2 linked regions of the Oryctolagus cuniculus genome follow. The protein of the gene in region 2 binds, or shares a complex with, the protein of the main gene of each other region. Links are inferred from orthologs where the notes say so. Each region holds a gene or a part of one and is shown on either strand. Other genes may lie near its edges. The genes, in order: PELI1 and MDC1.

What was found.
Region 1: the proteins of MDC1 (region 2) and PELI1 are in contact, whole or in part, in a crystal structure (PDB 9IF9), measured with the Homo sapiens proteins. The link is inferred for Oryctolagus cuniculus from reciprocal best matches to the Homo sapiens genes MDC1 and PELI1. Residues at the interface, in NP_055456.2 of Homo sapiens: Glu761, Asp762, Ser763, Glu764, Thr765, Gln766, Pro767, Phe768, Asp769; in NP_065702.2 of Homo sapiens: Arg104, Ser105, Thr106, Glu107, Thr115, Asp116, Val130, Gln131, Ser132, Thr133, Ile134, Ser135, Arg136, Phe137, Thr185, Asn186, Thr221, Arg222, Ser223, Ala224, Cys247.

What each region holds. Positions count from the first base shown.
Region 1 is NC_091433.1:138,702,684-138,706,493, reverse strand, and holds part of PELI1 (E3 ubiquitin-protein ligase pellino homolog 1), read right to left. Parts: intron 728-3,810; coding exon 626-727; intron 1-625. UniProt on the Homo sapiens protein: E3 ubiquitin ligase catalyzing the covalent attachment of ubiquitin moieties onto substrate proteins. Involved in the TLR and IL-1 signaling pathways via interaction with the complex containing IRAK kinases and TRAF6.
Region 2 is NC_091436.1:139,721,377-139,725,686, reverse strand, and holds the start of MDC1 (mediator of DNA damage checkpoint protein 1), read right to left. Parts: upstream 2,822-4,310; 5' UTR 2,157-2,821; exon of another isoform or gene 1,831-2,156; intron 1,468-1,830; exon of another isoform or gene 1,309-1,467; intron 1-1,308. UniProt on the Homo sapiens protein: Histone reader protein required for checkpoint-mediated cell cycle arrest in response to DNA damage within both the S phase and G2/M phases of the cell cycle.

The sequences.
Region 1 (3,810 bases), on a different chromosome or scaffold from region 2:
ACAAGGGATGGGGTGGAGGGAGAAATCAAAGCTGCCTGTACTTTCTGTTGCCTGTACAGGAAGGTGGGAGGTAGTGGACAAGAGGTCACTTATGTGTGCAGAATAGTTCTTGATTACTTTTCTCTCTCTCTTTTTTTTTTTTTTCTGATAATAATAGCTAACATTTGCCAAGAGCTTTCCAGGTACCTGGCCCAGCTCTGAGTATGTAACACACAAACTTATTTATTCCTAACACCTGGGAGGGAGTTTCTATTACCAGCACTTTATAGAGGAGGAAATAGACACAGAGCAGCCAAGTAACGTATACCAGAAATTCTAATCCCAACGCTTGACTCTTACTGTTATGCTGAATTCAACATATGAGGTTTTCAATATGCCTGAAGGACTTTAAAAAGCTCATGAAAAATGAAATTAAAAGGTAAAGTTTATTTTGATGCAAAAAAAACCTGAAATCAGTGCATTGCTTTTTTATACATTTTCCATGAACTTTCTGAAGACCCGTCATATATATGAAATACATTATTAAGCTATGATGATCCTTAATCTGATCATAGGAAAAGTTACAGACAATAGACTTTTAACTGTTCTGTTTTTTAAGAAAAAAAAGTTGAAAATGTTGTAATACCTGAAACATATCAGTGTTGCTGTCATGAGTATATTCAACCACCACTGTCTGGGCCCGAGATAAAGTATAGGATATACTGTGCTGGTCCTTGTTGCTTATTGCCTAGGAGAAAAACGTTAGTAACAAAAATTAGTAGGCAGGTCAATCAAATCAGTACAAAAAGTAAATCACATATATGACACATTTATGCATTTACCCCCTGAAACTTGAGAGAGGTTAATAACTATTGAAAAGCCTTAGCTGTGACAGTGACTTCTCAGGTAAGAACATACTTTTAAATAAAATCAAAAACTTATACAATCTGGGTCTCTCCTACAATTATTTTAAATTTTAAAGAAATCAAAACCAAATTCTGGGACAGGGTTGTGGTGCAGTGGTGTAGTGTGTACTGCCCCTTGAGACAACCAGCATTTCATATGGGCACTGGTTTGTGTCCTGGCTGCCCCACTTCCAAACCAGCTCCCTGCTAATGGCCTGGGAAAAGCAGTGGAAGATGGCCCAAGTGCTTGGTCCTCTGACACCCACGTAAGAGATCTGGAAGAAGCCCCTAGCTTTGGCCTGGCTTCACCCTGGCCACTTGGTGAGAGAAACCAGTGGACAGAAGACCCCTCTCTCTATAATTATGACCTTCAAATATATAAATAAATATTTAAGAAAAAACCCCTTGTAGAAAGTGAAAACAATACTCAGTACTAATCTGATGAGAAAATACAGAATCTTGAAAGAATCTTTTTTTTTAAGGATTTATTTATTTATTTGAAAGTCAGAGTTACACAGAGAGAGGAGAGGCAGAGAGAAAGAGAGCGAGAAAGAAAGAGAAGAAAAAGAGAGAGAGGAGAACCATCCATCCCCAATTGGCTGCAACGGCTGGAGCTGCACTGATCCAAAGCCAGGAGCCAGGAGCTTCTTCCGGGTATCCCATGCAGGTGCAAAGGCCCACGGATTTGGGCCATCTTCTACTACTTTTCCAGGGCATAGTAGAGAGCTGGATCAGAAGTGGAGCAGTTGGGTCTCGAACGGGTGCCCATATGGGATACCGTTGCTCCAGGCCAGGGTGTTAACCCGCTGCACCAAAGCGCTGGCCCCAAAAGAATTTTATTTCCATTAAAAATTCTTCACTTAAAATTTTTATTTGAGAGGTAGAGAGACAGATTCCTATCTGTTGGCTCACTCACCAAATGCCTGGCGCTGGACTAGGTTGATGCCAGGAATGGGGAACTCAACATAGATCACCTACATAGGTGGCAAAAACTCAAGTATTTGAACCATCATCCCCTTCTCTAGGGGTCTACAGTAACAGGAAGCTAGAATCAAAAGCCAAAGTTGGGTACCGACCACTGGTACTGTGACATGGGATTTGTTTCTTAACCACTAGGTTAAATGTCCAACCCAAGAATCTTATTTTTAAAGTCACTCAGAGTTAAAAAGTTAACCAGTAAGCTGACTTAACTGGCTGTCTATCCATTTTGTGACTCTACAGATGCAAAAAAATTCATAGAATGATTAAAATTACCAAAGGAAAGAGATGTAACACTCATGCACGTATTTGACTTATCTCAAACTAAAAACGTTGCTAAAAAGAACTTTTCAGTTTTGTTTTCAGGAGTGTTGTATGTACATGAATTGGAGAAAATATCAAAGGGAGGAAAAACCTAGTCATGTACAAAGGATGTGGAAACGGCTGCATGAGAGGAAAACAGACATAAAGAAACGGAGAGTGATTACACACAGCAAAGAAGCTAAACTATAAAATGTTCTTTAATTAGAAGTTTATCATTTGTAGCTAAACTGTAAGAATTTAAAGCTTTAAAACAATAACTTTAATTAAAACCATCAAATTTTGAAGTATATAAACAGAATAAACAAGTACCTGGATATTAACTATCCAGTTTTATCAAAGCTTAACAAATATCACTTTTAATTTTGATTTTTTTCAAGAAATTAAACTGTATTTGCAACTGTATTTGCCTATGTATTCCTACCTATCTGCCCATTCTCCAATACAGATCATTTACATGCATACTGCTAATACTTTTTAGTGCACATTTATGTATTCATAAACATTACATACTAATTTCACAGGTTTTAAAACCTAAATTAAACTCACCATTAAGCAACCGGCTTTCAACCAAAAATTGCTTGAATTCTTAACAGCTTGAAAGATTTAAAAACACTAGCTTTATGTGCCTTAAGATTATAATTTTTGTCTTTTTTTTAACAATTTATTTATTTCAAAGGCAGATAGACAGAGAGACAAAGAGAAAGGTCTTTCATCTGCTGGTTCACTCTCCAAATGGCCACAACAGCCAGGGTTCAGTCAGACTGGAGCCAGGAGCCAGGCGCTTCTTCCAGGTCTCCCATTTTGAGTACAGCAACCCAAAAACTTGAGCTGCTTCCCCAGGTACATTAGCAGGGAGCTGGACTGAAAGTGGAGCAGCAAGGACACAAACTGGCACCCATACAGGATGCTGGCGTCCCAGGCGCTGGTTTTACCCATTAAACCACAACACCAGCCCCAAACCCACTCTTAGACTGGGAATAAGAACTATGTCAAGTTAAATCTGAGTCTCACTGGATTGGAAGGCAGTTTTAATCACTCACTCCAGATGACTTCCAGACTAAACATTTATCCTCCTCATGAACTTAATATATTCTGTGAAAATTTAGAGGAAGTAATCAGTCTTTGATCTTCAAGATTCTTTTGCCAAGTAAGAATGAAAAGGAGGTAACAATGAAAACATGACAGGTATGACAGTGTAAAAATAGGAAGAAAAATCCAGAAAAGACTATTACAGAGGTATGGAATATAAATATGTTCCCCAACAACGGTTCTCAACCAGAAGAAGTTACTAGTTGTCCAAGGGGAATCTGAAAATATGTAAAAGCATGTTTTGGCCATCACAATGAAGAATTGGTAGACCCAAAATGCCAAGAGCACTCTTGTAGGGAAGTACTCTAAGAAGCTCCTCAATTGGATCAATAAGGCATTTACTTCCACTGCCTACTTAATATAAAATCCTATCTCTGCAAAGAAGCAAAATCAAACAGTCCCTTTTCTACACACACTAGCTCCCAAATAGTAATAGTGGATTTAAGGACTTAAGGACTCAAGGCTTAAAGACTCTGTTATACACATTAACTGGATATACACAATGTTACGGCAGGAATTTAGACTACTTGTTAAG
Region 2 (4,310 bases):
AGGTCACTACTAATGTGCCTAGGAAAAGAGTGGAAAATGGCCCAAGTGCTTGGGCCCCTGTACCCACGTGGGAGACCTGGAAGATGCTCCTGGCTCCTGGCTTCTGCCTGGCCCAGCTTTGGCTGTTGCAGACATTTGGGGAGTGAACCAACAGATAGAAGACCTTTTCCTCTGTAACTCTGCCTCTCAAATAAACAAATATTTAAAAAGTATATATTTTTGACCATGACACAAAGAAAGATAAATATTACAAGGTCCTCATTACACAAATATATACAAACATGTTTATTTATATATTTTTTGAGAAACAATGCTACGATAATACACTAAAATTCTTATTTCTGTTTTTCCTATTCTCTATATTTTTAAATTTATTGTATTTGAAAGACAGAAGAAACAAAGAAGGAGGGAGCAACAGAGATGGTCACAATGGAGGGGGCTGGACTCAGCTAAAGCCAGAAGCCAGGAACTCCATGCAGGTGGCAGGGGCCCAAGCACTTGGGCCATCTTCTTTTGCTTTCCCAGGCACACTAGCAGGGAGCTGGATTGGTAGCAGAGCAGCCACAGTAATATGGTATGTCAGCATTGTAGGCTGTGGCTAACCCTGTGTACCACAATGTCAGCACCTCTCCTTATACTTTTTAAATGAACATTTACAACCTATTAAATGAACTTCACTATCCACAACTGGGCTGCAGCCCACTGCTCATACACGCCAAGTCTGTGCTGGGCATTATGTGTCACGCACAGTAGACGACAGAGGTAGACATTTAGGAAACTAACGCTGAAAATATGAGATAATTTGCTCCGGATAACACAGCAGGTTAAGTAGACAGGTAAGAAGAAATGTTCTTTTGGTTGTACTGCCCGTACTTTTTACACTTTGCCAGAGCACCTCGGCGTGATCAGACTAAATTACAAAAACTCCTAATAGTCGACATAGAGAGGATTCCGGTTTCTTACACTGACTGCCTCACTTAGTCTCCACAAGAACCCTGTAAAGAGGCATTATTATTATCTTTTTCTTTTAGCTAAAACAACATATATGGGTGAAGGAACTTGCTCAGAGTCACTCAGATCTCTCTTTTTAATATTTTCTGATGGTTTTCCCAGGGTAAAATAAAACCTAAACTCCTCAGCAAACCTCCTCCACCCCACTTAAGCCTTTTGTTGGGCACTGCAAGCCCCCACCCTCACTCCGCTGACCCGCATGCGGTCCAACCAAGCCTCTATAAACACACTCCCCTCGGCCCCACAGCTGATGCCCAAGGCCCTTCCCTCCTGGTTTCCTGATCGACTCCTGCCCACCCTGGGGGCTTTAGTTCAGGCGCAGCGCTGAAGACGCTGGCATCTCACATCCGAGCGCAACTCCGCTTCCAGTGTCAGCTTCCTGCTAGCGGGTACCCTGAGAGGCAGCGGGCAACGGCCGCCCACGTGGGAGGCTTGGGATTGAGTTCCAGGCTCCTGGTGTGGGCCCGGCACAGCCCCGACTTTCAAATCGATAGTAACAGTAATCGCCGTCCTCTGTTCAAATGTCCTCCCCTCATTAAAGTCCTTCCTAGTTTCCGGTGACCCTGGTGGCCGACGGCCTTGCGCCTACCCTGTAACCACCACTCTCACACTCCGCCGCCCCTCCCCCCGGAACTCTCCCTTTCCCCCCGGTGCCCATCACGGTCGTTCTACGGTGGTGACGGCGCGCCTAGGGCTGATCAAAGAACGGGGGCCACATCCGTGAGGCAAACCCTACATGCACCCTGCCCTCGCAGGGCTGCCTCACTGAGCCTGCTAGGGGCAGAATGAAAGGAAGAAATAAGGATGGAGTTCACTTACAAAGAGGGAAACGGGCAGCTAGGGAAAGGAGGACGCCCCCGAGGCGAAAAGGTTCACTTCGGCCTTAAGACGGGCCAGCCCAGCGGGCGCCCGCGTTCCTCGCCTTGGAATCAAAGGACCACCATCTTTGATCCCCGCCCAGTGGGGCTCCGTCGGGATCCAACGCCTCCCGGGGCGAGGAGAGGCGTCAGGTGAGGGTGGGCATTTACAGTCCCACAAACTTTCGAATTACCTCCGCCCAGTCGCACCCAGGGCACGCCCCTCCCGCCCTCCGTCGGAATCAAGATGGTACCCGCGAAGATGTGGGCGAGGCCCTCAGAACTCACCTACTTGGAGTACGCGCGCGCGCGCCACCCGTAACGGTCGCGACCGGGGCGGTGCGAATGCGTGCGCCGGAAGGGACCCGGCTCGCTGATTGGCTGTTGTCGCTGTCCTTCACGACCGTCCTGCACGTTGATTTGATGACGCCCACAGAGCGGCGGCACATTCGAATCCCCTCCCCCAACCGTCCCCCCACAGTTCAAAAGGAAAGCATCTCCCGGGAGACAGTGCTCAGTTGAGGAAGAGTAATCGGAGGCCGCGCGAAATAGCGCATTCTGATTGGCCAGCTCCAAGGGACCGCCCACTGCCGTTTCATGGCCCACCGCCCACTTCCCGCGCAGACTTCCAAACCGCGACCAGAGAGTCTGGCGCCAGTTTCTGGCGGCGGATAGAGCGTCTCTGTACTACAGTCGTCGGCCGCGTCTGGTCCGGCCAGAGCGCCCTTTTCCGGTCCTCCCAGACATGGTGTCCGCTGACTCAGGAGAAACAAATGGGTTGCGGATTGCAGTCGTGGCTCCAGGCTGCAGTTTGGAGGACAGCCCGTAGGCGTGGCACTTGAGGCTCCTCACTGCAGTGGAATTTCATTGCCTTTTGATTTCGCTTGTTTAGTAGAAGTCGTGTCATTTCCTCCTGAGAATACATCCCCGACGGACATTTTGAGGACATTTTCCTAAACGGAAGATCCTAAAATAAAAATCCAAAGCCTAAGAGAGGAAACTGTTTTGCTAACCGTTTTAAAAGGTTGGCCTCACTTTTCAAGGGGCAAGGCAAGGATGGAAAGTAATTTATTTCATTATAACGAGACATGAAGAGACCAGGAAATAATTTGATAGGGATCTACTTTAGGTAGCTCTTTCCCGTTTGTTATCTCAGCTCGGGCCACGAGAACCAAACAGAAGTAGATTTTATCTCTGCAGCTCTGCGAAGTTAAATGACTCGCTGGGTTCCTAATGCAGAGACAAATGGAAACAAGTCCTCCAGTTCTAAATCTGAGCTCTTTACTGCAGAAAAGCTGCTTTCGTTGTGAGCATGCCCGAAAACATAAGATATTTTAATGGAGTACAAGGGTCCTACACTCACTTAACGCTCCTTCATTTGGAAGGTGATTTAGAAATGTGCGCTGATGCTGATGGAATGTGGATTAACAATGACCTTGACTGGGACCACACCTCTCTAGACTGGTGCTTACCGCATTTCTCATCGAACTGCAAGGTCCTGGAGGCCAGGGAACGGATTCTTAATCATTTTTGTATCTCTTGCTCCTGGGTTGGTGGATAGGTAGTACCTACCAAATGAGTGAGTCCTTGGGAAGCAGGTGGACCCCGTGGAAGCCCATTCCATTTTCCACTCTTTCAGTCACCCCTCCCCCTCTGCAATGGCCACCGCCCGCCTAGTCAGTGAAACTGAAACGCACCGATTTCATCAATCTGGACAGGCCGTCTGGAAAGACCGAAATCCTATGAAGCTTCAGACTCCCTAGTTCCCCGTTTTCACAAGAAAATCAAGCTGTTTTCCAAGGCCCACATCCCCATAACGGAGGCTGCAAATCTCAGCACTTCCTCTAAACGCTGCAACTTACTCCTTGAACAATAGCTACATCCCAAAAGACCCTCGCTACAGTTTTGTTTCTCTGTCGCAACTTTCTCAGTCCCAGACTCCCAGGGAGATATCAGGAAGGCAATCCGAGGGGGCAGCGGCTTATGCGGGTTCAGGCTTTGGGTCACCCAAGGGCCAGAGTGCTGCACCGCTCCCTGGTTTTCGCTGAGCTTAGCAGTCCTGTCTTCAGACAGCTGCTACTACAGGGAGCTTTCTGGGCGTGCCCTCCTCACCTCCCAGCCCCCGGCACCCAGGACTCCCCAACCCCTGCATCCCCGAGAACAGCCCCCTTTCTGCACAAAAGAACTCAGGCACAGAGGGAAAGAACCGCAGACACAGTCCTGCTCTATTGCAAACACACGCAGACGCGGCCGGTACCCACCCCTAGTCGCTGGAATTTTTTTTTTTTTTGCAGCGTGCACAACAATAGGGAACTACAACTCCCAGGGAGCACTGCGCTGGCCCGCCAGCGTGGAGACCAATGGGCGGCCGGCGCCTGTCGGCCGCGGCCAATCAGCGGCGGGCTCGGGGCGGCTTTGTCTGCAGAGCGGGGCGCGGGCTCG